Tamandua tetradactyla: one gene and its partners. The protein of the gene in region 2 interacts with the protein of the main gene of each other region in a biochemical or structural test. Links are inferred from orthologs where the notes say so. Each region holds a gene or a part of one and is shown on either strand. Other genes may lie near its edges.

Region 1 (7,495 bases), on a different chromosome or scaffold from region 2:
TGGACGTTCACAAGGCTGTATTGGAGTGTGGTGCCCATGAGCTGGGATGCAGCTAGGAGAGGAGGGACACGAAGTCATTAGATGGGGTCTAGTCGAGAGGAGATTGTCCAGGCTGGAGCCTTGTTTTCCTGGCGTGCAGGGATGGTGGGTCCCCCCCTCTGAGTGCCCAGGAGGTCAGAGCAGACCTGGACTCCTTCCAGTTCTGGGATTCCAGACCCGTGTGCAGGAGCTGCTGCGTGAAGGGCATCAATCAGCACCTTAATAGGTGTGTCTGTCCAGGAGCCAGGAGGTTGGGGTGGCAGCGCAGAGACCTCTCCCACCCTGCTCATACGTGCCCCAAGCTCACCATCTATCAGTCAAAGGCTGAGTTTCTGCACCATGATTTCGAAATCCTGTAGCTTTAGCCTCTTCCTGCATAGGTTTCTATACTTTGGGAGTTCTCTTTCATATGCCCAAAGTATGTGCATTATCCTATCTGTGTGTACATATATTTTCTATGTTTTATTTTGAAATGATTATAAATGCATAAGAAGTTTTAAAATAGTACGGAGAGGCCCCAAATAGCCATGACCCATACTATACCAAAGGTGCCTTCGTACACAGCTATCGTACCTTATAAAACCAGGGAACTGCCGTCAGCAGGATGTAATGAATCCCCCAGCTTGCATCAGCTTTTACATGTACTCATTTTTTGTTTCTCAAAAGATTTTAGTGTTTCCCATGTGTTTTATTCTCCCAAATTCTGGGATACTCTTGAACGAAATGATTTTTACCTAAATTATCTTAGAGAATAATGAATTTTAGAGATGGAAAGGATGATTTGGTTTATCTCTCACATAAGCTCCTGTACCAGCCAGTGGATCTGGAACTCAGAGGAGTCCTGGTGCCTGATTCAACACAGGCTGGTGGATAATCCAGAAATTCCTATTTTCTCTTCTCTACTCATATTTTTCATAAGCATAATATACATCTGAGGAAGAGCTGCCTAATGGGTGCTACACTTTTTAAAAATGAGCAAACATCTCAATTTCTTCAAACACTCAATTAAGGAAATATTACTTTACTGAACATTGAATTAATCTTTCAGGCCTTAGGAAGTGTTCCTTGTGGATTACATTTTAACTACTGAGCTAACTGGGCAATCCTGTTATCTCTTTCCCGGAGGTAAGGGCTGATAAGCATCTTGTTACATGGTCTCAGAGACTGATGAACAAAGGCTAACAAACATGAGAGAAAGATCAAAAGAATGAAATGAAAGATAACTTTAGATCAATTAGAACATGTTTCCAAGGCAATATGTCCTTATAAATGACACAGTAAAAGCAATCTAAAAATTAGCATCAAGAGCATTTACCTTGCTAAGAACCCTTGCAAAAACAAAGGCATCTTTTGCTTGAGTCCCTAATACATTAATTATTTTTTGCTGTTCTCATTTTGAAATGACATGACTTGCTGAAGATACTCAGAGATTTTCCTGCTAAAACTATCAGCCATTTGAGAATGGCAAGTCGCCATTGACAGGAGGTCTGTGGGGTCAACAGGAAGCAGAAAACTTGTTTGGGAGGGAACTGTCAGGTGCAAATGTTCATGGCCAGCCTTTGAGGTCCAGGCTATGTGAAAGCCCATTCCCTGGGAGGTTGTGACCTGGGCATAGCTTCCACTTCAGACAAGGTGTGTGCAAGAAAGACTGAAGGTAAGACTGACCTTCCCTTGTGTTCATGAGTACAAGTACTTGCTTAGTACTTGCAAGGAGTTTACCATTTTAATACTGGAAGTATTGGGCAAATTCTTAAGAAAAACTGAGAGGACCCTGGTGGCATGTTCCAATGCTTGATAGAGCTATGGAAATTAGATTTGTCTTCCATTTTATTTTAAGATCCTGGGAGTAGCCAGAAGCTGGAATTCAACAGAACTTGGAGGATATGGGAGAAGACACTACCATGTACCTTGCTATGTGGCAGAAAATCCATGGACCAAGGATCAACTCAGGAATGATGTTACGGCGAATCCAACATCTACATAATTTTCCTTTTCCGGTTGTTTTCTGATTTGGGTGGATTGTGTAATTAGGTCGTCCTCACTGTGGCCTCTGCCCAGGCAGTCTTTAGTGCCTCCATGACATACCAGCCTCATGAGGACTCAGGGGAACATTGATCCAAACTTCGCTATTGGGCTGTTTGCTTCTGAGGCATGAGAAGAAAACAGTAGAATCCAGCACCAGAACACCACAGTTTTCTGGAAGAAAGCAATGCCTTGATGGCATCTCAACTTTGGACTTCTCTTAGCCTCAAACCTGTGAGTCAATAAATTCCCGAGGTTTCAGCCAACCCATTGCATGATATTTGTTTTAGCAACCGGGAAGCTAAAACATTGCCACAACCCTGTACACACTTTTGGTGATCAATAGATACATAATGAATTGAAGTAAATCAGAACACACATTTCAGAATTTATTCAACCTGCTAATAGTGTACAGAACTGAGCTCTCTTTCTATATCTCTGTTCTCAGTGCCTGCCATTCTTTCAAATAGAAAAGAATAATTACTTTGTACTCATTGTCCTTAGAGCCATGGGAAAACAACCATCCAATACCCCTCTAATAAAAGTGCTAGTGTGGAATTCATATGCACACTCATGAACACTTCATTCCTTTACGCCTAGTCTGTTCCTACAAGGCAAAATCACTTTTTTTTTTCCCGAGATGTAGGGCTGTACCATAATGGAAGTCTCTATAGCCTCCAACCCAGCCCATCCCTGAGTAGAGCTTCTACTGTTTTCTTCTCATGCCTCAGAAGCAAACAGCCCAATAGCGAAGTTTGGATCAATGTTCCCCTGAGTCCTCATGAGGCTGGTATGTCATGAAGGTACTGAAGACTGCCTGGGCAGAGGCCACAGCGAGGACGACCTGATTTACACAATCCACCCAAATCAGAAAACAACCGGAAAAGGAAAATTATGTAGATGTTGGATTCGCCGTAACATTATTCCTGAGTTGACTTGTCCATAAGATGGTACTGAAACAATATTTTAGATGGAAATGAAAGCACACTGGAAACATGAAAATAGTTAGTAGAGTCTCACCTTGTCCCAAAGGACTTTATACTTTCTGAAAGATGCCAACATAACCCAGTAGAAGACATTTCACATGTTTTGAAAGAAGTCTGGCCAGCGCTGATGTCCACCTTTGGTCTCCATTAAATACGCTTGGCCTTTAGGTGAGAAGAAGAGGCTAAAGGGAGGAAATAGCTGAGAGAGGAACGAATAGGCAAAATCGTACACGGGGGATGTGATTAGCTCATCGTGGCCCCATTGTGTTTTGAAATCTCTGCCCAGCACTTCACTTGCAGGGGCTCCAGAGGATGTTCACCCGGATGGTTGGGCCCCCAACTCTACACTTTGCTAGTTGATTGATAGGAAAGCATTTCCCAGCCTTGGAAGAACAGTGTACGCTTTCTTGTAAAAGGACAAGAAAGCGTACACTGTTCTTCCAAGGTTGGGAAATGCTTTAAATAAATTAAATTTAAATGCTTTAAATGCTTTAATAAATTAAATTTAAATGCTTTAAATAAATTAAATTTTATTTAAATTTTAAAATAAAAAGGTCAATTGAACTATTCTTGAATAATTTCTCCAGAGGATTAGGAATTTTAAAGCACATTCTACATCACCACTTTAGTGTAAAGCCAGGGAAAACACGGAGTCAAGTATTAAAATTGAGACACACTCTTTAAAATTTAAATGTTAAACTCTTACTTTATTTTGTGAAGATGAGGATATACTACATGGTGAATTAAATTGCTGAAAGGATTGATATGTCAACAAAATAATGTACAATTGCAGGCAACATCTGAGCCCATTGAGGATAAGGAAATTTAAATATAATAAAATATTTTAACTTAGGTTTTAATTTCTTCACTGTTGGGTAGGATGTTGGAATTTTAACAATCACACCTTAGCTTTTAGTGTGTAATCTAAAGCCTGTACAGTTTGTATCTATTATCTTCACTTGTCATTAGCCAGGTAACCTTGGTCAAACCCTCTAAGCCCTAGTTCTCTCATCTTAAAATGGGAATGATGATACAGTGGTTAGCTCGGTACATGTTGTGAAGTTTGAATGAACTTATATCCATGCACCACTCAGCAGTGTGTGGCATGGAGAAAGGTCTCAGAAAATGTGAGCCTTGATCATGAATTTTTTAGCCTAGAAGAAAGGGAATGAAAGGAGGGGGAAGGAAGCAGACTAAGCGGGAAAGATGAAGAACTGGGTTTGGAGGATAAAGGGAGGCCAAGAGGGGGGCGGGCAGCAGGGTGCGGGAATACGCTTTCAGCACTTCCCCGCATCTATTGCCCATCCCGCCATGAAGCATTTTGTAAGATCCTCTGGCCCCGGTAATGTTTGAACGCTTTCGAGTGCAGTGGCATGGGCCTTCAGGAGAATCATTAACTTAATTTGACTATCTTGTTTGTGGGGGCAGCTTCTCTTAGATGAGTCAATATCATTTTGGGATTGGGACACGCTGTTTTCTGGACCTTGCTGGCCAGTCCCAAAATGGAACATAAAGGAGTAGTCCTTCTGTTTCTTTTATTTCTGAAATCAGGTAAGACTTAGACATTTTTTATTTTAATGAGTGTCTTTATTCCTAGCCATGTATTCAAAAATAGATGTGCTCTGGATTTTGCACAGTTTGTTCAATTTAGCTTTCATTTTATGAGATTTCCAGCTCAAAGTCTAATATGAGCTTGAGGAATTCTTGAAGAAATAAGTCTATTTTCCTTGTGAATGTTGTCACGGTGGTGGAAGCGAATGGGCAGAGGAAATAATGAATTATTTTTCAAACCTCAGAGATTGAGTCCAAGTGATTATTATTTTGGCTGAAAAAAAAGTAGCCAATATAGCTAACACCAAAATTCGTTAGTCCATTTGCCTGGCTATTAGTTTGAAATTGATTAATTTAGAATATTTTCATTAAAGTATCATGCTCCATTCACTTCAAAATTTAGAACGATGAAATATGTTTTCCAGTATATGATATTCTTAGACCATCTGTGCAATTGCACACACCACTTCCCTATTTGTTAAGCTCAAGGGAGGCTTTTCTGTACTTATGTATTTGCTTCTTATGCATGGAGAAGCTATATGAATGTATTTGCAAAATGATGTGTGCATAAACAAATTAAACAATTCAAAAATAGTCATTTAGTGTTGGGGGTAAGCAGAAATTTTTTCATAAACCCCCACATACACCCACACCCACACATCCTATGCTAATATTAGCTTATTTAGCTAGTGAGATGGATTATAGATTTTATCATCTACAGATTATATTGAAGAAATCTAGGCTTAGAGAAATCGTGCTATTTGCCCATTGACTAACCTCCTGAATCCAGAAAGTGAAGAAACCAGGATGTAAATCCAGGTTTTCTAAGAAGAAATCTACTGCTCTTCTTACTTTTTCAACTTTATTAAACCTCCTTTAAAATGTTCTAAAACTGTCCTGTTAGTTCTTCTTTCAAACAACGTTATTGAAATTTAATTCACGTACTAAACAATTTTCACATTTAATTGGTAAAATTTAATGGCTTTTAGTACATTCACAGAATTGTGCATCCATCAACACAATCAATTTTAGAATATTTCATTACCTTCCATAGACACTCAACATCCCTTAGCTGTCCCCTTCTCTCCCTCCATCCTCTCATCCCCCAGCCCTAAAAAACCACTAATCTATGTTCTGTTTCTATAGATTCGCCTATTCTGGATATCTCCTATGATGGAATCCTACAGCATGCTAATAGGCATTTATATAAACAGTTTACAAGTATCTAATATTTGATTGATAAATTATCAGGTAGATTTTTACAAGTTGAATTTTAAATTAGAATCAAATACATTCATTTTGGTAGAAGTCATTAAAACAAATATCAAAGAAAATATAGAGCAGGAGAAGATGAAACAGAGATTTTTGCGGGAGATGGTTGTAAGTAGGGTGGGGGGTGAGGGGCTAGGGCAGGTATATTCTATTTCAGTCCATGGAAATTGGCACCTGGAACATTATGAACTTATTCAGTTGGCTACACCCAAATGTTTAAACAAGCTTCTCTGCAACAGGATTAACATATGTTTTAACCGCCACCCCTCCAAATCCCATCGTTCATAAACTCTTCTTGAAACTAAGGCATTTGCTCTCACTTTCCTTGGACATATGTTTCATCTTTCCACTGTTCTGGAATGCTTGGGAGAGAAAAAAAAATATGAGACTTGGAAAAGCATTTTACTTTTCATGGACCACTGAGTCTTTTCTTTCAAACACAGAAGCGTACATATACACACGCACACGCTAACACACACACACTCTCACTTTTGCTCACATTTATTCCAAATTACAACTCTATATGGTTGAAAAAATATACCAGCTTTGATAGCAATATATACCTATATTTGGTCTATTATGCAAAAATGCTTTTCCTATTAAAAGATTTGTTTAATGTTTCTTCGTCAACAAATAAACCATATTATACCTTTTGACACATAAGCCCTGATGCTGAAAAAGGTAAAAAGCAATTGAGGGAAAAGCTTTTTTTTTTTTTTTCGCATGGGCAGGCTCTGGGAATCGAACCCAGGTCTCCGGCATGGCAGGCAAGAATTCTGCCCCTGAGCCACCATTGCACTACCCAGGGGAAATGTTTTTAAACAAAAAAGAAAAACAAAAGGTTCTCTTCTGAGATATTTCTTTAGGACATCATTTCCTAATGTGGATCTCATAATCTATACATTCTCTAATCTGTTATGTATTCACAGGTAGCATAATTAAAGGGTGATGTAAAGGGAAATTTCTTCATTTTAATTACCACTTACAGCCTGGCCTGGTACACCTTCCATAACTCTCCAAAGTGTTTAACTCCTTATGGAGCATTCTTTATTGATTTATTGTGTTTGCATTTCAAATCACATCATAATCTATAGAATGTACCAATGCACAGCTCTTCTTAGAATTGAGAGTAAAATAGGAAGAAAATGACGTGTGAAGACATGTATACAGGTTTACAATGCATATTTTTCTTTACTGTTTTGATACATTTATCAAGGACTTTTTGGTGTATTAAAGTTTGCATTAAAGTTTAAATGGCATCAGCTACCCTCCTGTTTAGTAATCCATTCTTCCAATTCGAGTATCTTAAATTGAGGAAGGATGAAAGCTTAGGTGTAGGGAAAGGGTGAACTTTGGAAGGTGACTTTGTATTAACTTATTAGGGTACATCCCCTCCCTCCTGTTCAGTGTATTTATTTTCAGGCTGCTCAGGGAAGGTCTTTCTGAGAGTGAGAATCTGACTTGAATAAACATTTCTACTGAATAATGCCATGAACATACAGAATGTCTTGTCTTAAAAAGAAATCAGGAACTGCCCCTTTCACAGCTAGCCTTTTGAAAAGACTTGTCTTCCCTGGCAGGCTTCCACAAGCATTGACCACATTGAGGGGAGTGTTGGAACCAAA
Region 2 (6,849 bases):
CAACTCTTTGTTCTCTTCAGTCTAAGAGAGGGAGAAAGATCATTAGTCATCCGGGATCATGTGCTAAACCTTCTAAGGCTCATGCTACAGGCCGACTGCAGAGGCCACTGACCACTTTGCGGATGCTGTCCTGAAGTGTGGTCACGATGGTGCGCAGGCCCCTGAGCTCCAGGACCATGTTGGACAGCTCAGCACAGGAGATGCCGCAGATGGCTTGCAGATCTTTTGTTTTGTGGCCAATGTAGTTAGTGCGGATAGCAGGGCTGGAACCATTCACCACATTGTTGTCGAGGGTGAGGAGGACATTAGTAGCTGCAGAGAAACAAAAGAAATGAAAAAAAAAAAAAAAGGAAGATCTAACAGATGCTCTCACAGCCAATCCCTAGAGTTCTTAGTTATAAAAGACATACCATTTTGAGTGAAGGGTTCAGGTGGAGGGGATGAATGTGTACGTGTAATACCTTTTTAGGTCACGTGTACAGCCTTTTAACTATATTACCCAGGGATAATTGATATACAGCCACCAATAATTGATATACAGCCACCATTGCTTAGGTTTCTCAGCTTGTTCTGGGTGGAACTCCTCCCTTGCTTTCCCCATATGCCCTAAAAATAGAAGGGTACTCACAGCTGGAGCAGCCTTTGTTCCTAAGGATGTCTTCTGGTGTGGTCCCAAACACAAACCTCACATTCTGCAGCACCCCCTGTGGGTAGAGGATACACACTACTTGTAGGATGTTGTCGGAGTAGGGGAGCTGTCTATGCTAGCAAAAGCACACAACAGATGTTCTAAAAGTTTAAAAGAGCTCCATTTACTATCATTATGTCAAAACAAGCCACCAATATAAATTGCCAAACAACTTCAAAATTTTGATTGTGTCTTCTGCCAAGTCTTCAGTATTTTACAAAGAATCCAGTTATCAGCCTACTTGGGAAAACAGGAAATGGAATCTGATACTAAGCCTGGAGGATATGACACTCTCCAGTGTCAAAGGGTTAAATGTGGGAGTTTCAAAGCCATAGTTGCAAAGATCTAGAAGTTAGGGCAAGGAAGAAGCTGCAGCAGATAGCCACACCTTCTGTTTTAACTTTTTATTTGGCACTGGCTGCATCCCCAGGAGAAATCAAACAGCAAAGTGGTCTTTATTCTGCCCATACAAAAAGTTTCAAGCAATATTAAAATTGGTGGAATGCATTTGAAATAGTTATTTTCCTGAGATGAACATAAGGAGTATATAAGGTTTGAATAGGCTGCTGTTAAAGAAAAAAACATTTCTTCTTTAATTAAGGTTTTCAAAGTGTGGTTCTCAAACTACCAGGATCAACATCACCAGGAACTTGTTAGAAATGCAAATTCTCAACTCCCACCCCAGACCAAATGAGTCTGAAACTCCTCCAGATGATTCTGATGCCCCCTACAGTTTGAGAACCACTATTTACTCTATAGACAATATTTCCCGTCCTGGAAGCCTTTCCCCTTGTCTGCCACAGCCCGCCTGACAGGTCAATTGGCTAGCAGACAATGCCATGAACTAGCAGCTCAGAGAAGAGATCTCACCTGGAAATCGTCGTTGGCACCTCCCTTTGCGATACGGAGTCTTGCAATGCTGGCCAGGTCCCTGGTAAAGATGCTTTGGATGGGGACGTCCAGCTCAGCATTCTCCATCTTCTCACAGTCGATGTATAGCTGGGCCCTATCCTCCTGCACAAACAGGGTGATGCTCTTCCACTGGCCAGTTGCCAGGAGTACGTCTTCCACTGACACCACCTGCTGCTTCCCCTGCACGGTCAGGCTCAGGTCCAGGGTGCCCGCCTTGCCATTAGAGACCACGCTGAAGATCTGGCCAGAGTGGTCTTTCCGCTCCAAGGCCAGCAGTGTGCCCCGGGTCTTCTTCATCTGCCTCAGAGAGGCCAGGAGCAGGAAACCTTTCTCTGCACGCACAGCATCCACTAGATCTTGGAACTTGTCATCAGGCACAGGGGGGATCAGGTTGGCATCCTCAATGCGGAAAGCTGGGCTGGAAGGGTCAGGGCCCTTCACCAGTCGACGCCCAGAGCCCTTGCGGGCAGCCCCAGTGAGTTCAAAGATGTCAAACACACCGTTGTCTCCCCCAGACTCTGTGAGACAGGAGCAGGATACACAGTGAGCTTTCTTGGCTGGGATCAGGGTTGCGGGTGGGGGCGTCAGCTTTGGAGGGTGGGGCCAGAGTAAAAACTCCTGGCAACCAGAGAGAGCTGAATTAACCCATAAGAGAAGAGGGCTGTATTCGGTTGTTTAATAGGGTTCAGGGTTAAAACAGCTGGCAGCTAGCACACAGGAGGACAACCCTAAGTGCTCAAACTTGGCCTGGCATTACAGCAGGCACACCTGGGGTAAACAGCACCTCCTCCTCTGCCCTCCTCCCTCTAAACGTATTCCACAGACGCACCTGGAATACGGTTGGTGCCACACACATGCAACAGGAGCAGGACACCGAGTCCCCAGGCCAGCCTCATGGTGGAGCTGGTTTGTGCCCAGCAGAGGAGCCTGCAGCAGAAAGCACAGAGTCCAAGGTCAGGGACCAGCCAAGCCAAGAAGGTGGGCGAAAACTGGCAACTGGGCTTAGGGCCAAGGCCCTGGGGTTCCCCTCTTTGGTCTCGCATTTGCTGGGATGACGGACTACAGAATTTACTTTTCAGAGGGCATCACGAAGAAAACGAGACGGATGGGACAGGAGATTGTGATTTTTAAGTATAGGGAACAATGACCAACAATCTGGGGGCTTTTCCTTGGGAAGTCCAGGGTAGACAGCTGAACAAGGAGATTTGTTTGGGGGAGCAACAAGGAAAAAGTAGACTTTTTTACATGAAAATCGATGTAAGAGTTTACAGTTGGCTTGGAGAATAGAAGAAAATGTTGAGGGTCCTGAGTGGAATTCAGTCGTGAACCCCAAAGGCAGGAGAGGATGGCTCCGGAGCCCTCCCCCGGAGTACCCCAGCGGCCCGGAGGACCAGAAAGGGGAAAACCAAGGAGTATGAGTGAGATCTGAGAGGCTCCGGAGGGGCTGTCGGAAGCCTCAAGCTCGAGGGTCATGGCCAAGGTCGGAGGAGCATCGGTCCTCCGCGGCCGCGGGGTGCGCTTACCTGTGTGGACGCCGGTGCAGCGGCAGAGTGGCGGCGCCGGGAGCAGCGACCCGCGGAGAGGCCTGGAGAGGCGCTGGCGCGGGTGGTGTGCCCAACAGGTCCGAGGCAGGAGTTGGAGGCTACGCCGGGACAGCTCGCAGGAGCCCCGAAAGCACTGCCAGGTTCGGGAGCAGTGGCTGGCGAGGCGGAGGAGCCGCGCACTTTTAAAGTGTCGTTCACATTCCAGGGGATTGCTCTGGCCAATCGGCGGCGGCCGAGCAGGAAGCGGGGGGTGGGGGACCAGTCTGGGTTTCTCTCCCCGCCTCCGTCCTCACCCCCCCGCTCCCACCTCCCCGCTGCCTGGGCAGAAAGTGAAGAGCTGGAGGCCAGGGTCGGGGGAGGCGGGCAGAGGCGCACTATGGCTTCTCCGAAAAATAGGTGCCCGCCCACGCAGCCTTGGCGCGCAGGGGCTCAGACTTGGGCTCTTGAGCCACGCGGGCCCGATGCGTTAAGTGTGAGCATCCCGGGCAGCGACGGGGCTTCGGCGACCCACCCAAGCCCCTTAGGATTTTCAGGCAAACCGGGCTCCTTGAATGCCTGGGCAATAGCTGAAGGGTGGATACTTGAGAAGGAACCCGTTTGTTAAAAAAAAAAAAAAAAAAAAACAAAACCTGATGGTAAATGGGACCATGAGAGTCCTTAAAGAATTGCCTCTTGCGTACTTGTCAGCATCCATCCAGGTTGGGTGGGGGGACCACCCGCCCGGGTCGGGGACTGATGGGAGAAGGACTTTGCGCCACGCTGCTGCCCTTGCTATCCCTCCCCATCCCCGGCGACCCCCGCCTGCCCTTCGCCTGACCCACTAAGGGAGGTGACTTCGGTGTCGCGCTGGGGCAAGCAGGGACTGTGTACGGAGCCCGGTGCAGCACGCTTTCCCGCAGTTGTGGCAGAAGTCCCTTTTGAAACTCGCTTCTCGGAATTGCTGCGGCGCTACCACGGCTTGCCGCTTGGGGGCGGTGTGCGTATTCGGATCAAGGGGACTACCAGAACAGTTTCTTTCTAGTCAGGAATTTTAGGGAAACTTATTCCTATCCAGTTCCCTCAAGCCAAAATTGAAATTGTGTCTTGAAAAACACTTTGTGTGCCCACTCGTGCTTCTTAACGTGACTCCTGGTTGGAGAATTTGCAGGACCATCTGACTCCAGAGTCCTAAACTATTCACAGAACAGACCTACAGAGTAATAAATTACCCTCTGCCTATCATTTTATTTTTCCTTTTCCTCACTAAACATTCTTTTCATTTTTCGGCTCCAGCAACCGAGGTGCGGGTTACATTTCTGTGGGAGCACACATTGCCATAAGAGCTCCTGCCTAAAGTTTCTGTCATTGGAAGTCTGGTCTCCAAGCCACTGTCCCAAGCCAGCATGACTCCAGCTGCCTGGAATTCCATTCATCTCTTCGGGTTGGGACGTCAGCAGCTGCCGCTTCGCTTCCCCTGCTATGGTCCTGCTCTATCAGGCTGGCCTCAAGACACAGGGTGCAGGTAGCAGTTTCACCAAATAAGGGCCTCAGCCACAGGCCGGGTTAACTCTGGGGTCCACCTCCGTTTCTTGGCACTTAAGCTTGGTAGAACTTGTAACTACTGGAAACACCCACGACTTTACAATCATCAAACAGCAATTTCACTTTTCTTAGGTGGGAGTATTCTGTGACAAGGAGCATGTGTGTATGTGTGTGGATTAAGTAATAAGCATTTTCCAGTTACTCAATATATAGACCAAACACGTAGAGAAAAACTGTTCCTAAGGCACATGTTTGTTTGTGGCTTAAGTAATAACTAAATTTGCCAGCTGGTTACATTTTCAGATGTTGAGAGGTAGAAATAAGTTTTTCTTTGATGACTAGTCAAATCAGATTCCTGTCCTAAAAGTCATACCTAATGATTCATCCAAACGGGGTCAGCAGCCATACGCTTTCCTTCCCTTCCCTCTCCTCTTCCCCAACATCAAGTTATCTCTTGGAAGGGTGATTTTTTTTTCCTTCTTGGAGCACAACTTGCCAACCAAAAATTCTTCATGATACCTGATATTTAAAAGCAGTTCTTCTGGAGAGATGACCTATTGATGACCCACAGGCTCCTCTGGACTACTTATTAATTTTGTACAGAGTTGATGAGGGCTTTTAGGTCCACAAAAGTGGGAAGCACTTTTCCTTAAAAGATGTCTCCATTAGGCTTAGCAGATTGCTCCTTCAGGCTGAAGGCTATGATGAGTGAGGGAGTGTAGCAGTATCTCCAGAGTTTTCTTGGAACTTGACTTTTTCCAACAAGACAAGGAAAATGATTTTTCTTTTCTTTTCTTTCTTTTTACCTTCTATATGCTTTACAAATAAAAAGATGAACTATATAACGGTAGGGAGCGCTTTCTTGTCGGAGAAAGCTGACAGCGGTACAGGGACTGTCCACCAACACAAAGCCCTTGCCCAGTTCGTAGTACTCCCGTTGTCCTGGTGGAAAGGATGGACCACAGGAGAGGGGATGTTAGGTTGGCTGTTAGAACCAACCCACGTTCCTCCTGGTCCCATGTGCTACAAATATTCCCCAAAAACTCAGTTCCCCTGGGAAGCTGTGGGAGAAGCAGGAATGGGAAAAGGGGGAAAAAAACTTAGCACCTTTAACATGGGAGATATTGTTCCTCTGGGCAATGGGTGCAGGAAGTTACTCTCGATTGAAGGGTGGTGACAGGGACCCAGTGTGGAAAGCTCTGTCTTTGCCAGCAGTCTTTCTCACTCTCCGTTATCCCTCTTTTCTCTACTCAGTTTTATGTTTTACTCATCTCAGTGCCTTCTGAGCCATCAATAAGTATGGGCTGGATTGCGTTTCACTGTGGAAACTTTTCTTTTCAAATATTTGCCACCTTATAAGAAGGCAGCTCAGCCAGAGGCAGCCTTACAGATCAGGGGGCTGGGAAACTACCCGTGTGGTTTTAATTTGATGGGCACCAAGCGTGCTTCTGCTTCCAGTTTCTGCTCTCTCCACCAGAGCTTAACATTCTACCAAAAGGAAAATTCAGAATTATTAAGTCAGAGGGAGCCATCTAGTCCAACTGCTTAGTTTTTTAGATGGAGAAGTTGGTTCAAAGAGGTGAAGTAACTTGAAAAAATTCATAGAGCCTGAGGGTGGTGGAAGTCCAGGAAATAACCCAAGTGTTCTTTCTACCTTCTGGCTCAGAGTCCTTCCCGTTATATTGTTTTGCTCCTTAAGATTAATTTCATGTGGTTTTGGAGACATTTCAGTTTTAAAATCAGCAGGATTTTGCCAGTTTACTATTCAAGAGCAAGTCATGTGCTCAAAATAGGGAGATAAGGAGAAGTAGGGACACTTAGGAGGTGAAGGTAAGAGAGAGGAAGGAAAGTCAGAAGAAGACATGGACTGAGCACAACTTGCCAACCAAAGGCCGAACTGCATGATCTCATTCCCTCCTCTCCCTGTAAAGAGAGTCCCAACTCCCCTAGTTTCCTTGCTTTCTTTTGAGTTTACTGAAACTTATTGTTGCTTCTGGGGATGGTGCTATTTTTGGCTTGAGGTTGTGGTTGCCTATGGAGTGGGCTGTCACCTCGGGTTCACTAGCTCAGGATGTGATGAAGCATCACTTTAATTCTTAAGTGGGTTTTGCAAAACTGGAGACAATCTAGCCTAGACTTCTAGAAACTGTGAAATACTCCCTGGTTTGTTCAACCCCAATCAAT
Region 3 (7,538 bases), on a different chromosome or scaffold from region 2:
TCCACTGTGAAGGGGTCTGGGGACACACTGAAGGACCCAGCAGGTCCCCCTGTCTTGGGGAACTGACCCTGCAGAAGGCAAGATGGGTGGGGCACTCAGGCGGGGTGAGTACACCCAGTGAGGACGAGGGGCTCCCGACAGCACCCCCCCACCGGTCAGTTTGCATACCCAGGTCACGTCCAGGCCCTTCCCGCTCCTGCCCATCCCACCTCCCTCCCCGGTTCCTCCTTCCCCAGGGGTCCCCCTTTGGATGATGTGTGTGTGTGTCCGCGTGTGCGCGCGTGTGTGTGTGTGCGTGCGTGTGTGTGCGCGTGCGTGCATGTGTGTGTGTGCGTGCGCGCGCGCGCGTGTATGTGCGCGTGTGTGCGTGTATGTGTGTGTGTGTGCGCGCGCGTGCGTGTGCGCATGCATGTGTGCGTGTGTGTGCGCATGTGTGTGTGCGTGCATGTGTGTGTGTGTGTGTGTGCGCGCGCGCGTGTGTGTCCTGGAGAATGGGGCAGGGGTCTGGCCAGGACTGGAAATCAAGGCTTATCTCCAAGGGTCTGGACTCAGGGCTCACACTACGGGAGAATGAGGTAGAGCCTGAACCTGGGTGAAGATATTTGAGGGCTCAGGTCACTTGTGAAGAAGAGAAAAGGGAGAAGAGGGAAAAACAGGACAAACCAGAAATCCAGAAATAGAGGCTCCAGAGATGGGGAGGATGGAGCAGGAAGAGAGATCACACAGCAGAGAGAGAGGAGGGAGGCAGGGGAGGGAAAGAAAGAAAGGAGTAGGGAGTGGGGAAAGCCTAGGGAAAGAAAGAAAAAGAGGAGAAGGAGGCAGGGAGGCTGAGGCATCTTCTCTCTGCTGCCCTCACAGCCTCCTCCGAGGGGTAGTCTGCTGTCTGACTCCATCCCACCCCTCCTCACGCCTCAGTCCACTCCCAGCTGGTTTCCTCGCCCATCACTCTAACAGCTCACACCTAGGTCTCTAGTCCCCGTCATGCTGCTCAATTCGGTGAAGATTTTATTCTTTGTTGTACTAGTTCTCTCTGCAGCATAGAATTCTCTCTCCTTCTAGAACCCTCTCTTTCCTCGGCATTCATGACACCCACACCCCTCTCTTCCTTGCCCTCCTACTTCTCTGGCCACTCTCCCAGTGTCGCATGCTGGGCTCCTCCTCCTCCACCCAACCCTGCAGGCTCCGTCCTAGCCCCTCACCTCTGCTTTCTCCACGCACTGTCCCTCCAGCCCCACGGCTTCAGTCTCCCTGGACTCACGGACCCCGACACCCAAGGGTTTTCTCCCCATTTCCTATTCAGTATCTCACAGGCACCCAACACCCAACAAGGGCAAAACTGAATTCATCTCCCCCTGAACCTGGAAAGGAGGAATGGAGGGACGGAGGAAACTCTCAGAAGGTCCAAGGCCTTGGGTCTGAGGCTGAGGCATAGAAAGCTCCAAGCCCGAATGCTGGAAGCTAAGCTGCTTAGCTAAGGGACCTCAGGGCATAGGCCGTGAAAGAAGAGAGGGCCCACGCACGTGGGGTCTACCCCAGGCCCCTCCACAGGACACCAGGCAGGGCTCCAGGGTGGACGCCCTGGGGAGCTTCACCCCATGGTCTCCACCGCAGCCTCCCTCTTCCACTCCCTCCCTTGCTCTCCTCTCGCTCAGAGGGCTCATCTCCCTTGTCCAGCACCAAGGAGTCAGACCTGCCCCCCCCGCAGGGACTCCACAGGAGCAGGGATGCTGGGGGACACAGCCCTGCCCCTCCTTCTCAGGGGGAGGGGTACACAGGGAAATCTGGAGAGGGAGAGAACTCAGAGCTCAGCACTTTCCTCTTTCTGTTTTTCTTTTTGAGGAATTTTTTTCCTAATGCTGATGACTTTACCATTTCTTCAGGGGGGAGAGGAGATTTTGGCTTTTGCTCACCCCCCGCCCCCAAGTGCCAGACAAAGTCTTACATTCCACCCGAAGCCAGAGCTTCAGAGTTTCCTAAAGATGAGGTGGCGTCTCCTCCCCGATTGGGCCCACGCTCCCCGCCTCCCCACCCCCCACCCCGCCCCCAGTCTCCAGTCCTCAGTCCAGGCCAAGGAGGCCCAGCCAGGCTGGGAGGAGACCCCAAGCACATTCTTCCTCTCACTGTCATGCTGCAAAAATTAAAGACACATCTTCGGGCTGGGTGTCTGCCAAGTGTTTTAAGTCAAAAAGTGGCAAAGGAGAGCCTGGGCTTCAGCTCTTTGCCACGTGTAAAGGATGCTTGGGAACGTCTGCTGCAGCCTCTGGGAGTGAGGCCGGGAACTGGACACTGGCGTGGAAACTGTCACACACCACACTCACAGCCCACTCACTCCTGAGCCCCTGGGTCTCCAAACGCCCCCCAGACCGCCAGACCCATGATGTGGCAGCCCTAAGCCCCACCTCTGAGGCTTGTCTCTTCTTTAAGGTGGGCATGGGCGAGCCCCAGGCGGGGCGCACGGGGAGACAGCTGCAGGCAGGAGCCCTTCTGGCTCCACAGCTTCAGCATTGCGGGGGGGGGGGGGGGGGGGGGTGCGCGGGCCACACCCCTCCTCACGGAGCCCCCCCCCCCCCGACACCCTGCCTGGGTGACCGCCCCAAATGTCAGCTCCCTCTGCTCCCTGGGTGAGGGGCGCGCCCCTTGGGACTGATCCTTAGTGGGGGGCAGGACTACGGGTTGGTCCAACAACGGCCATCTCAGCGCCTCAGGTATCTGGACCTATGCTGCTGTCGCTGGCACTGGGTGGCTGGGGGGAGCAGTTGCTGGGCCACAAGCTGCTGCCACATGGTCAGGATAATTGCTGAAGGTCTGTCCCCCCATTGCTGTCTCCAGCCCTGCCTCTCTGGAAACTATATTTTCCCTTTAATTATAGCCCCTGCAGTCTCCCTCCATTGCCCCACCCGTACCGCTCATCCTGGCTGCCCATGGCCGACGTGGCTCCCTCCCCTTCTGTTCTTTTGGTTTTTTCCCCCCTTTGCCTTCGTTGCACAAAACCAGCTGGGGGAGGGTGTGGAAAGGGGCGGGGTGGGGGGGGGAAGCAATGGAATCTTGGATGGTTTGGGGGAGGCGTGACTCCCCGCTTCCACGTTTGCAGCTCTGAAGCTAGTGGGGGTAGGGGAGTCATGCAGGAGGGAGAGGAGCTGACGGGGCATTGCAGAGGGGCCCCGTTGCCCTCACTTAGGTCCACAGATTGGGCAGGATGATGGGGCCTGGTTAGACTGGAGTTGGTCTAGAACCCTGCTGGGAGGTTAGAATATCTGGGGAAGGCAGACACTTACTTCTGGAGGTATCTCTCCCAAATATAGCCTAGGAAACCACTTCTCATTTCCAAAGTAGCCCCCGACTCCCTTTCAGGGTCCAGATGACTCTTTCCTGGCTCCAGAGGCAGAGAACAATGGTCTGGATTTTAAGGCAGGAGGTGGGGTGATGGGAAACATCTCCATGAGGTCACTCAACCTCTCCTGCATTCCACTTCAAACCTCCCCCAGACACCCCAGGTCTCCCATACACCTGGAACCCTGAGTCCAGGTTCAACCGGAGAAGGGGCTATGCAGCTTCCAGAAGGGGCACCTTCCTTGGTCAAGCATTCTTCACCCAAGTTCTTTCTGGTTTGACTATGCTGGGTGGGAGGGTCTCTAACCAGTCCCTGGCCACAAGCCCCTCACACAATGATTATGGTGTCGCCCCACCCCCCCCAAGCTCACTCCCCAACTCTGGGTGAAGCAGCCCTAGCACACACACCCCAACCCCAGGGCCCCATCACCAAAGCTTCCTTCTGGAGACACCATGTAGTCACATTTCTCACCCAGTGCCTTGGTCTTGCCACTCCATCTCTCACAATCGCGCCCAGGATTTGGGGGAGGACACTGGAGCCCGCCCGTCTTCTAGCCTCAGGCACGGCAGAAGTGACATCCTCAAATGAAAATCCCCTTGGCATCCCCCCCAACCTGATTCTCAGTGTCTAGAATCTCTAACTTGTTCCTCAAATGTTCCCAAGCTCCATACCCCAACCGTACCAGAAGACACCCCAACGAGGGACATCTTTTTAATTCCTTGATTCTCCTCCTTTGGAGAGGTCCCCTGGCTTTTCCCCAGATGTCTCCTTATCTGTGTCGGAAGGTGGATGAGCTGGACCAGGAGGACCTCTCCCAGTCATCCCCAGCCCTCTTACTTTTGGGGGGTTGGCCACCCAGCTCCCCAATTGCCCTTCGGGCCGATTGGGAGTTCCAGAGAGAACAGCAAAGGGGCTCCCCCACCCACTCCTTAGCCCACACTACACTGAGGACCCGGCCGCACCCCAGCGGCGATATCTCTGGCCCAGGCTGGGCTGGGGGGCTGGGGAAGCAGTGCTGCGAAGGGGGGAGATGCGGGGTGGACTCCCTTCCCTTTCCTTCCCTCTTCCTCCCCCTCTCTATTCCAACTCCCGAATCGGGGGCCGGGCCAGGCAGCTGTGATTGGCTGGGGGGCGGGCGGAGGGCTCCCCCTCCCCGACGGTCAGGGTTCCTCCCAGCGTCGGGTCTGGATGGTATAAAAGGGGCCCGGGCTGGCCATCGGAGCAGACGGGAGTTTCTCCTCGGGGTCGGAGCAGGAGGCACGCGGAGTGTGAGGCCACGCATGAGTGGGCGCTAACCCCCTACCCCAGCCGCAAAGAGTCTACATGTCTAGGGTCTAGACATGTTCAGCTTTGTGGACCTCCGGCTCCTGCTCCTCTTAGCGGCCACTGCCCTCCTGACGCACGGCCAAGAGGAGGGCGAAAACCAAGACGAAGACAGTAAGTCCCAAACTTTCGGGAGTACACGGCTGCTTAGTATCGCGCCCTGCGCTCGGCCCCGAGGGTCCGCCACTTAACTTGAGACTCGAGATGTTCTGGATACTTGGGAATGGAAGGGAGATAGTGAGGCACCCTTCCCCGGCGCCCCGGGCGAGAAGGGAGTTCCCCTCGGGGGTGGGAGGTGGGGAGGAACTCCCCTCAGGAGTGGGAGATAAGGATGAAGCGCGGCGCAAACAGGCGCAGGGGGGGAAGTCCCGAGGGCGCACCGCCGAGTGCAATAGGAAAAGTGGGGGGTCTGGCTGCAGGGGGAGTGCGGGACGCGTTGAAAATAGGGTGGGGGCGCCGAACCGGGGGGTTGGAGCCCAAGACGTAAAAGCGATCAGGATGGCTGTGGGATGATTCATAAGGAAAGTTTGTTTGCCCTCTCTGCAGGCTAGACACGCGGGAGGAGGGGGCGCGGAGAGTGGGCGGGCTGGAGGCTGAGAAACTTTGGCGAGGTCTTGGCAAGGTGGGGTCCTTGCGTCCTCTGCTGACCAGTGCTCAGCACTGCGCCTCTCTGTTCAGCGTTTCCGGGCGCAGGTTCCGGGTCGGAAACACAGGGGTTATTGCCAGGCGTGGACTCCATCTCTAGACCCGGAGCAAGAGGCCGGGGACCACATAGCCCTCTGACTCAAAAGAATCCCAGGAAATTGGCCCCGCCACGTCCCCATTGCTTAGAGTTGCCCGCCACCTAGTGGCGGTCTGGGTAGTTGCTTGCGCGGTGGGCGTGGTTAACCAACTGATTCGTTTGCTTGCGGACTTTTCGTTTTTTTGGCTAAGAAGTGACCCAGAGGGTCTGTCTGCCTTTAGGAGACGGAGGTTGGCCTCGAGAGCTCTGAGATGTCTTGGCTCTGGAGATTATGATATATACTAACTCTAGGGTACAATTTCAAGTCTCTGGGTGGGACCCCACTCCTATAAGCCCCTCCCCATTCCTCTAGCTCCGCCCACGCCACCCCACCTGCCCAGGGAACAGGGCGAAATGGGGACTGGAGCTCCCTCCTCTCCTCCCACCCAACCCCCTTACTGTCTCCCCCAAACCACTCCCCGCAAGCCTGCCCTTTGGATAGGACGGTTCCTGTTCTCTCCTCCCCCCACCCACCCCCAACGGCTTTTTATTTCACTTGGCTTCTGCACCAATGGGCTGAGGTTAGAGTTGAGGGCAACCCTCGCCTAAAGTTTTGTTTAAATTCCTGAGAACTGGAAAGAGTTATAGCTATGCTGGCCAGGAGCCTCGGCGTTGTCACTGGCTCTGATGGGGAGCAGATGAGCTTTTAAGGATTTGGAGAAAGGTGGGGGTGGGTGGGGAGGCGGGAGAGTCGAGCATAAGGAGGGAAGTGGAAAATCTAAATGTGTCTCTAGGGTAGAGGGAAAGAGGGTTGGGGCCCCGAGGTGGAAGTCTCGGGCACCCCTGACAGCCCCCCTCTTGCTTCAGTCCCATCAGTCACCTGCATACAAAATAGCATCACGTACAATAACCGAGACGTATGGAAACCTGAGCCCTGCCAGATCTGTGTCTGCGACAACGGCAAAGTGCTGTGTGATGAAGTGAAATGCAGCGAAAGCCAGGACTGTCCCGGCGCCCATATCCCCTTGGGCGAGTGCTGTCCCGTCTGCCCCGATCGCAATGGTAGAGCTCCGGCCCCGGGGCTGGGGGAGGGCGGGGCCGCTCCCTGGCGCTGCGCCTTGCAGGCGTCTGCCTCTAACCCGCCTTGGAGGCGTCTGCCTCTAACCCGCCTCTCATTCTCCCCCTAGAGTCACCTACCGACCAAGAAACCACAGGAATCGAGGTAATCCTTTGCCCTCGAATTTTGCCACCCCACCCGCCGTGATTCCTCACTGCCCGCCCTTCTCTAACTCGACCTCTTTTGTTTCTTCTCCCCCAACCTCATAGGGACCTAAAGGAGACACCGGCCCACGAGGCCCGAAGGTAAGCCTTGCGCAAGCTTGCTCGCTCTCTCTAGCTCTCCATTGGATGGCTGCAGGTGGGCGTGGCCTCTGGCCGACATTCACCCCGCCCCCAAACTCTTCTCCCTTAGGGACCCGCAGGCCCTCCAGGCCGAGATGGTATCCCTGGACAGCCTGGACTTCCCGGACCTCCCGGACCTCCTGGGCCCCCCGGACCCCCTGGCCTTGGCGGAGTAAGTGGAGAGTGGAGGCATCTGGAAGGCTTCTGTCTGCTCCTTTCCCTCTACACTTTTTTTTTTACAGACGAAATAATTTCAAACTTACAGAAAAGTTGCGAAAATAGTGCAAAGACCTCTCATTTTGCACATTTGCTTTATCAGTCTGTATGTATATGCATTATCATTATTTTTTCTGAACCCTTTGAAAATTGGCGGTATCATGCCTCTTTCTTCCAAAATACTTCAGTGTGCATCTCTTAAAAACAAGAGCATTCTCTTACATGACCATAGCACATGACTACATTTAACATAGATACAATACTATTATCTAAAATAGTCTATATTCAAATATCGTCAATGTCCCAGCAATGTCTTTTATAACAATTTTTGTACAATCCAGGATCATGAATTTCATTGAATTGTCATGTCTCTTTAGTTTATTTTAATCTGGGGCATACATCAGCCTTTCTTTGCCTTTCTCAACACTGGTTCTTTCTGAAGAGTATAGGCCAAATGTTTTGTAGATCGTCTCTCAATTTGGGTTTCTCTGAAGTGTCCTCATGATTAGATTCAGGCGATGCACTTTTTTTGCAGGACTATCTCAT
Region 4 (7,915 bases), on a different chromosome or scaffold from region 2:
TAGCATATTCACTTATGTAACCACATTAAATACAATTATCAAGTTTAAGAAATTTAACATTGATATAAAACACACAGTCTATATTCCAATTTTTTCAATTGTACCAAATAATGTCCTTTTGGGGATTTTCTCCTCCGTTATAAGATCCAATTCAGGACCATGTATTGCATTTAATTGTCAATGTCTCATTGGTCTCTCTCTGTTTTTTAGATTGTAATTTGCATTTTCTTGATGACTAAAGATGTTGAATACTTTTCTTGTGCTTATTCACCATTCGTATATGTTCTTTTGTAATGTATGTGTTCAAATCTTTTCTCCATTTTTTTTAGAAATTGGTAATTTGTCAGATCAATGGTTTACTTATCTATTTGGCTTACTTTTCCATTTTGTTAGTGGTGTCTTTTGATGAGCAAAAGTTTTCAATTTTCATGTTTATCTTTTTTTTCTTTCAAGGTTTTTTATTTTCTATGACTTAAACTTCTGCCTACCTCCAAGTCTTGAAGATGTTCTTCTGAATTTTAATCTAAAAGCCTTAAGATTTTCACTTTTATGATTTAGGTCTATGATCCATCTTGAATGAACTTCTGTGTATGGTATAAGGTAGGGATCAAGAGTCATTTATTTTCCCATAGAGATTTTCAGTTTTTTCAACATCGTTTGTTGAAAGACATCCCTTTCTCCACTGGATTACTTTGACGCCTTTGTCAAAATCAAATGACCTTTAAGTGCAAGTCTATTTCTGGTTCTCTAGTCTGTTCCATCTGTTTGTCAATTCTTAAGCTCTTACCACACTCTTTTGATTACTGTAGCTAACAAGTCTTGAAGTAAAGTGGTATAAATCCTTCAGTATTGGGAGTTTTAAAAGCTCCCCAGGTGATACTAATGTGCAGCTAAAATTTGAGAGCTTTGAGAACATTCTAATGTGTTCTCAAAGGCCCAGCTCTCTCTGTCACCATCCTTTAGACCTACATGAAAAACCAATTATTATACTTGATCCTACCTCCTTAATGCCTCTAGAATTCTTTTCTTCCTCTCCAATTCTATCACTAGTGCATTAGTTAAAAACATCATTTCTCACCTGGCTCCCTATCCCTTCTAAGAAAGAAAAAAATGCTAAGTCTTTAGTGTGACACACAAAAGCCTTTGTGACATACCCAGTACCCTCCCAAAAAGTACCTCAAACTTCATCCATACCACATTTTTCAGTTTCCCAAATGTTTTAAACTTACTCCTTTAGCCTCTCCTCCTTCCTACCTAAAATACCCTTTCCTACTTTCCTCACTTGTCATCTCCTTCGTCTCTTTCAACATTTATCCTGTCTTCACATGTCCTGCTCTGGCCTGATCCCTTCATCTATAATAAGTGTCCCTTCGGGGTTCTCAGGGCCCTCTGTGCATGTCTTTATCATAGGTTTCAGGTCCTGTGCTGTGACTGTCAATTACCTGTTGAGCAACCCCACTCATCTGTGAGCTTCTTGAAGCCTGAGAGGGTGTGTTTCAATCTCTTGTCCCTAGTGCCTTGTAATGTGCCTGGCAGGTGACATACCCAATGAATGTTTATTAAATGAGTGAAACATGGGCACAAATCTGCACTATGATTGGGGGCCGATTCTTTCATCTCTCTGAGGGTCTATTTCCTTATCTACCAACTGGAAATAACCCCTACGTCACAAGGTGGTTAAAAGGCTTAAGGAAGTGAATCCATATAAAATTCACTGCATGTGCCTGGCACTTGTAAAGTACTCAATAATTGTTGGCGCTCTTCCCTCTTTCCAGTTTCCACCAGACCCTTCAAAGATACCCCTTCCTGTGCACACTTCTAGTACTGACCACTAGGTGGTATCAGTTTGTGGTCTGAAATTCAGTCCCAGAGCTGCCCCATTATTGCCCTATCCCAGACCCTGTTGTACCCAGGCAGAAAAGGGAGGGGGAGGGAGGGTTTTTAACAATTTGCTGATGGGGGGGGGGATTGGGGGGAGAGTGGTCCAAACTTTTTTGCCCACTCTCAGCTTTCTAGGTCTCCCAGTAATGGATTGTAGAGAATTCCTCCTTGATTTCCCATGACTTTCACCAAATTCCATCTCCCAAATTTCAGGACAGAAAAACCTTCCTAAGAACAGCAGTGGGAAGAAAGAGGAGAAACTGAGGCAGAGAGGGACTGAATGATGAATACTATAAGAGAAAAGATAGGGAAGTGAGATTGCTCACAGTCATATCCCATCTGACATCAATTATTTATGACTGTCTCTTCCTCCAGGTCAGGTACCCCTAGTCCTAACATTCCTGCCAGCCTCCCTACAAACTAATCAAGAACTGCTAAGCCCAGGTAGATACAAAGAAGTAAAAGACATGGTCCCTGCCCTCAAGGAGTTTATAGTCTGGTGGTGGACCCTGGACCCATATGATCGAGCGCTAAACTCTGGGGCCGGAGGTTACCATGAGTGCAAGTTTAGAACAGATAGATAGGCAGAGATAGAGTAATAGGAAAGTTTTTCTGAAGAGGGCAGAAAGAAGCTGGGGAACAGTTTAACAAAGGCTCAGGTAGAAAGAGCATTTTCTTCTCCTAGAGACACCCTCAGCAGTCCACATACGGGAAACTACCCAGGTGCCCAACCATCCCAACAGATTATGGAGTGTCCAAGCAAGGAGATCCCAAGTGGCCAATATAAAGAATGAGCTTGACATGTAAGTATAATACAGAAAGGAATCAAGATGAGTTCATTGAACAAAGCAAGGTATAGGACAGTATAATATTGTAGGAGCTCATTTGTGTTATTTAAAGATATTCATTAATATTTGTCTAACGTTAAAAAAAAAGAAGACCAAAGAAACTATTAGCAGCGGTTACTCTGGGGACGTGGCTGAGGAATGGGAGTGTGGAAGAGTGGCAAGTTTGCTTTTCACCTGTACCTTTCTATCCTCTTTGAGTTTTTAAAACCACTAGGCATGCACTTCTTTTTTTTTTACAATATAAAGTTCTTAAAAAATAAATACACATTCACATTTAGGAAACAGCAGGAGCGAGGAGGTAGCCAGAGGTCAGTGTTGATATGCTGGCTGAGGCCAGATTTTGAAAGGCCGTGACTGTCTGGGAGAAGCTTTCACACTTGACTCAGTTGCCTATAAATACCCAGGAGAGGGTCACCAGCAAGGGAGAGACAGGGAGAAGGCCGAGTTTTAAGACGATTCACAGGTATAAGACAGATGGAAGGGAAAGGAATGAGGCTGCCCCCTCGGGCCACACAGTCACTCAGATACCTTTTTCCTTTCAAAGCTGCAAGAAGTCCGATTCCACCTGATTTCACTTGGATTGGAATGTTCCGAGGGGGCCCTGGGAGAGGGAGGAATCTAGTAGCGTTCATTAAAAAGCATTTAGTGAGTCCCTGCCAGGAGTTAGGCCATGAGGTCCGCATACAAGGATGAATAAGACCCCAGCCCCTCTGGAGAAACTTTCTCATGCAGTGGAAATGGAGGAAATCTGAGATATATTTCCAAGGAAAAAATGACAAGCCTTGAACACAGGCTTGCAAAGCAGCAAAGAGGGCTCGAAAGAATCCCTGGTTTTGGTAAAGGTCAAGTTCTTTCTGGAGTCCTCTCGTGCTCCCACTGCCACTAACAATTTTTTCATGCTGTCCCTGTAAGGGAAAGACTGGAGTGAGGACTTGGGACCTTTTTTGACTAGATTTTTAGGAAGGGAGAAGGGTGCAGCAACTGTTACTCATCTCTAAGGTTGATTTCCTGCTGCCAGTGTCTCCAGCCCCAGGTCTCTGAACTCTTGACTTCCACACATCCAGAAAGTCAGATACCAAGGATACTGCCTGAAGACACCACCCAGAAGGGGGCAGTAGCCAGAAGCACCTTCTCGGACTCGGGGAACCCCCAGCGCCTTCAGGACTCAAAGTAGCATTCCCGTACAGGCTCCGGGCTGGGGACAAAGGTCTCTCAGCAGACACCCCCTTAGAACCCCACGCTGGAAGCAGAGAGGTGCAGAGTCTCTCCTCTGACTCCAAATCCCTGGTGCTCAGGAATCTAAAACCCTGACTTGGTGGGAAGCCAGCCAGAAGATTAGAACAAAACAAAACAAAACCAAAAAAACAAAACAAAATGAGCCTCAACCTCTTGGGGGCGAAGGGGGGTGGCCCTTCCTCAACGCCACCCGCTAGTGACTCACCTCCCTCCAAACCAGAGCCTGCCCCTCCCGCGCCCGGTGCCAGGCGAGCAGGGCGGGGCGGGTGCTAAGGTGGGCTCCATCCCCGAGCCCTCGGCAGGCGGACAAGCTCTGGCGTGTCCCCGCGGGTGTCCCTGTTTACTCCGAACCCCGGAGCGACCAGGGGGCGGGCCCTCGCGGCCCCTCCTCCACCCGCCCCCCTCCGCCGCAGGCCCCAATCCCGGTCCCGGTATTACAAAGTCTCCAAATCAAAGCCCGGCCTCTCCCCACACCTTCCCGGCGGACTGGCGGCCCCGCCCCCACCCTAGGCGGGGGAGGCCTCGTCAGCAGACCTCGGAGTCTTGGACACCCCCAGCCCTGGGAAGTTGGGGGGGGGAATGAAATCCTAGGGTACGACTCTGAGTTTCTAAGAGGAGCGGCTCTCCTCGCCCACTGCCCATCTCCCCACTTCGCCCGTTCAGCTCTCTGGAGCGCAGAGCAAGGGGCCACTCAGGGGAGAGGGCGCTGCGGGTCCCAAATGGACTGGCGGATGCCCGGGACCCCCACACTCCGACCGCTTCAGAGCTCAAGTCTCGGTGCTCCTCCGACTCCCCCTCCCCAGGGCAGCGCGCCAAACCGGCGCATGCGCACTGCCAGGACTGCCGCGTAGCTCTTTCTACAACCCCCCCCCCTACACTTTTTCTTTCCCCGCCCCTTCCCTCCCTCCTTCGCTCCTCTCCCGGTCCCCTCCCTCTCCCCCCTCGGCCCCCCCGCAGCATCTCAGTCCAAGGAACAGCGGTGTGAGCTCCGGGCCCGTGCACTGAGGAGGCGGAAACGAGGGGAGCCCCCAGAGCTCCATCAGGCCCCTTTCAAGGGCTCCCCCACCCGGTCCACGCCCCCTACCTTCCCCCCTCCCCGCCTCCTCCCAATTGTGCATTTTTGCAGCCGGAGGCGGCTCCGAGATGGGGCTGTGAGCTTCGCCCCGGGAGGGGGAGAGAAGAGCGAGGAGAACAGCAGGGGGTGAGGGGTTTGGATTTGGGGGCAGAGGGCGCACCCCCGTCAGCAGGCCCTCCGCAAGGGACTCCCAACTCTGCCTCTTCACCTACACCCCTGGTGCGCTTTGCCAAAGGAAAGGATCAGAATAGCGGAGAAGAAGAGGGGAAGGAGGAAAAGGGGGGATCCCCCCAAATGGGGGGGCGAAGACAAGAAGTAGCAGGACCCGGGGGGAGGGAGCTGCTGCTTGCATCAGCCCACATCATGCTGACCCCGGCGTTGCTGCTGCTGCTGCCCCTGCTCTCAGCTCTGGTCGCGGCGGCTATCGACGGTGAGTGAGATTCCGCGGCCCCCTTGGACCCCCGGGGACACCCCCTCCCCAGCCCCCACTCCTGCGTAGAGCCGGGGAACAGAGACGTGGGAGGGGGTGTCTTTTGTTATCCCAGTCCAGCTGACACAGCAGCGGCCCCACTGGGGGCGGGGATGGGGGTATGATTTGGGGGGATGGGGGCCTGGGCAAATGATGCTTCAGGGACCCCCCAGCCCAGACAAAGACCAGAGGCCTGGGTAGGGAGATGAGGGCTCCCCCTTTCTGATCCTGAGATCCAAAGGCCTTCTATTCCTATCTCTGTCCGGGAGGGCCTCTGCCTCCCCTTCATCCTGCATCCCCCTCCCCAATCTGAATTGTGAAGGAATCTTGGTTTGCAATGTGCGGCTGCAAAAGGGGGCGGGGGTGGGGGGGGTGGGGTTCTGCCTTGGCCTCTGAAGCTGAAGAGGGTAGCAGGGCCAGGGATGCCCTGCTGGGCGGAGGGCAGGCAGGCCCAAGAAGGCTGTGGGTGGGGAGAGGGAGGGCCATGGGGAAGGCCCCCTGCTTGGGTGTGGAATCTGGGCCCGGGAGCCCAGGCCTGGAGGCCTGGATCCAGGATCCAGCAGGGCGCCTGCCTGCGTTCTGGAGTCGGCACTTCCTGGCCTCAGGACTTCTGTCAGTAGCCTGGGAAGAGCTGTACTGGGGGGCTAAAGGGGTGCAGGGGATGCTTTGTGACTTTGAATTTTCCTTCTTAATTCCTGGGAGGTTTGAGATGAAAAAACGTCATATGTCATCATTGGGGAAGGGTACTGAAGAATGGCCTGGAATGCTGGAGTGGGGGTGGGGGGACTGCTTTCTCCCTGGCTTCTGGCTTGATCACAGTTGGGTCTAGAAGGAGAGTTGGAGGGTGGGTTAGGTTTATAGCCATACCCCCATACCCCAATTCCCTGATCCTTTGGTAAATGTGTTTATTTATCCCACCTTACCTCAACCAGATATATACATACTTTGTATACTGCAGAGTTAGGTTTCTGCTAGAACGAACAGTGTCCCTTTGGGGAAACGGGATGCACCCTCTGGCCTTTTTCTGTCAGCTGTTTTTTTTTCCCTTTTACTTGTGACTCACTTGTTCAAGTCTTGCCCAAGATTTGTGCTGGGGTTATGGGTTTGGGCCCGGGGACTGGGCCGGATACCATCATGCAACAAGCAATTGTCCTCCTTTCCCTTACCTCCCCCTCCTCCTCCATCTTCTGAATTTTGCCAGGTTGTGATTGGGAAAGTTTTTCCCTGAAACCAGATTATCTCTCCCTCTCCTGCCCTCCCTGGAGCTTGCTTCACTTGGGGGAGGGGTTTATGGGGTCAGGAAGCAACGATGCCCAGAATACTGAGGATATGTGTAGTGGCCCTCAGTTATCCCATCCAGGGCTCTGTTTCTTTGCACCCCCTCCCACTCCCTCAATTATCAGTCCAAGAGAAAGAAAGGCACTCTGCCCTGAATATCCTCTAGACCAGCCTTCACAGCCAGCCTTTGCCCATGACTCCCTCAGTCATGCAAGTTCTTGCCTCTGTTTCTCAGCTCTGTAGGTTGGGAGGGGAAACTGAGGCAGAGAGATTTTAGTGCTGCAGTTCTGGGAATGGATAGGGAAAAAATATATATATATATATATATTTTTTAGTATGGAAAGAGAAAGAGAAAGACCCATCAGGAACCCCATGAAAGAGGGTGGACAGAGTTAGGCAAAAGCAAGGGGTCTCTGTGGAAAGCAGAAAAGGCCCCCAGCCTGACCAGGAATGGGCTCCAGGTAGCTTCACTCCCAGAGTTCTAAAGGGCTGTAATCACCACCTCAAGCTGGCTCCTCCTTCAAGAAGGAGGAAGATGGGATAAGTTTTCCTTAACTATCTCCCTATCCTTCCTTAAAATCCCCTGCTGCAGCCCCAGCTCACACCTCTTCCCAAAGTCCTAGAAAGAGGACCCCTCCCCCAAAGCACACCGTGACTCTCATCCTGGGAATGGGACTGGTGCGATGAGGTCCACCCCATGGACAGGGCTGGGGAGTGGACCGGTGACTGCCCAGAACTGTGCCACCATCTGTCTTTATCCTGGGGCAACCAAAGGGTCCTCTCATCCTTACCCCACCCTCATGCTTCAGGTGCACACCCTGAGCTTTCTCCTTTGCTTCCAGAGAAGGACGCCCCCTGGCTTGGTCCTAACCTCCCTTCCTCCTGCTCTCACAGGCCCTGCTGCTTTCCCTGCACAGGGGCCTCCCCCTCTCCTCTGTGCCTAAATCCACCCTACAGTCCTCTCTGGGGAGTCGTGTTAGTTCCCACTAGTACTCAGTGCTGGTGCTGCTGGGGAGGATGGAGAGCCAGATGGGATGGCGAATGGGAAGAGGGGTTTTCGAGGGTCTGGTTGAAATCAGGGAACGCTGTGTAATGGGAAGGACAGCCCCAGGCAGACGTGGGTTGCGG

Evidence for each region.
Region 1: the proteins of THBS1 (region 2) and PLG form a complex in vitro, tested with the Homo sapiens proteins (2 studies listed by BioGRID). The link is inferred for Tamandua tetradactyla from reciprocal best matches to the Homo sapiens genes THBS1 and PLG.
Region 3: the proteins of THBS1 (region 2) and COL1A1 form a complex in vitro, tested with the Homo sapiens proteins (2 studies listed by BioGRID). The link is inferred for Tamandua tetradactyla from reciprocal best matches to the Homo sapiens genes THBS1 and COL1A1.
Region 4: the proteins of THBS1 (region 2) and LRP1 form a complex in vitro, tested with the Homo sapiens proteins (3 studies listed by BioGRID). The link is inferred for Tamandua tetradactyla from reciprocal best matches to the Homo sapiens genes THBS1 and LRP1.

The regions. Positions count from the first base shown.
Region 1 is NC_135337.1:64,344,942-64,352,436, reverse strand, and holds the start of PLG (plasminogen), read left to right. Parts: upstream 1-4,476; 5' UTR 4,477-4,549; coding exon 4,550-4,598; intron 4,599-7,495. UniProt on the Homo sapiens protein: Plasmin dissolves the fibrin of blood clots and acts as a proteolytic factor in a variety of other processes including embryonic development, tissue remodeling, tumor invasion, and inflammation. In ovulation, weakens the walls of the Graafian follicle.
Region 2 is NC_135340.1:52,658,762-52,665,610, reverse strand, and holds the start of THBS1 (thrombospondin-1), read right to left. Parts: upstream 3,010-6,849; 5' UTR 2,644-3,009; coding exon 2,430-2,643; intron 2,119-2,429; coding exon 1,559-2,118; intron 705-1,558; coding exon 629-704; intron 313-628; coding exon 113-312; intron 22-112; coding exon 1-21. UniProt on the Homo sapiens protein: Adhesive glycoprotein that mediates cell-to-cell and cell-to-matrix interactions.
Region 3 is NC_135332.1:31,352,352-31,359,889, reverse strand, and holds the start of COL1A1 (collagen alpha-1(I) chain), read left to right. Parts: upstream 1-4,527; 5' UTR 4,528-4,671; coding exon 4,672-4,768; intron 4,769-6,242; coding exon 6,243-6,437; intron 6,438-6,562; coding exon 6,563-6,597; intron 6,598-6,701; coding exon 6,702-6,737; intron 6,738-6,846; coding exon 6,847-6,948; intron 6,949-7,538. UniProt on the Homo sapiens protein: Type I collagen is a member of group I collagen (fibrillar forming collagen).
Region 4 is NC_135333.1:124,313,793-124,321,707, forward strand, and holds the start of LRP1 (prolow-density lipoprotein receptor-related protein 1), read left to right. Parts: upstream 1-4,908; 5' UTR 4,909-5,334; coding exon 5,335-5,470; intron 5,471-7,915. UniProt on the Homo sapiens protein: Endocytic receptor involved in endocytosis and in phagocytosis of apoptotic cells. Required for early embryonic development. Involved in cellular lipid homeostasis.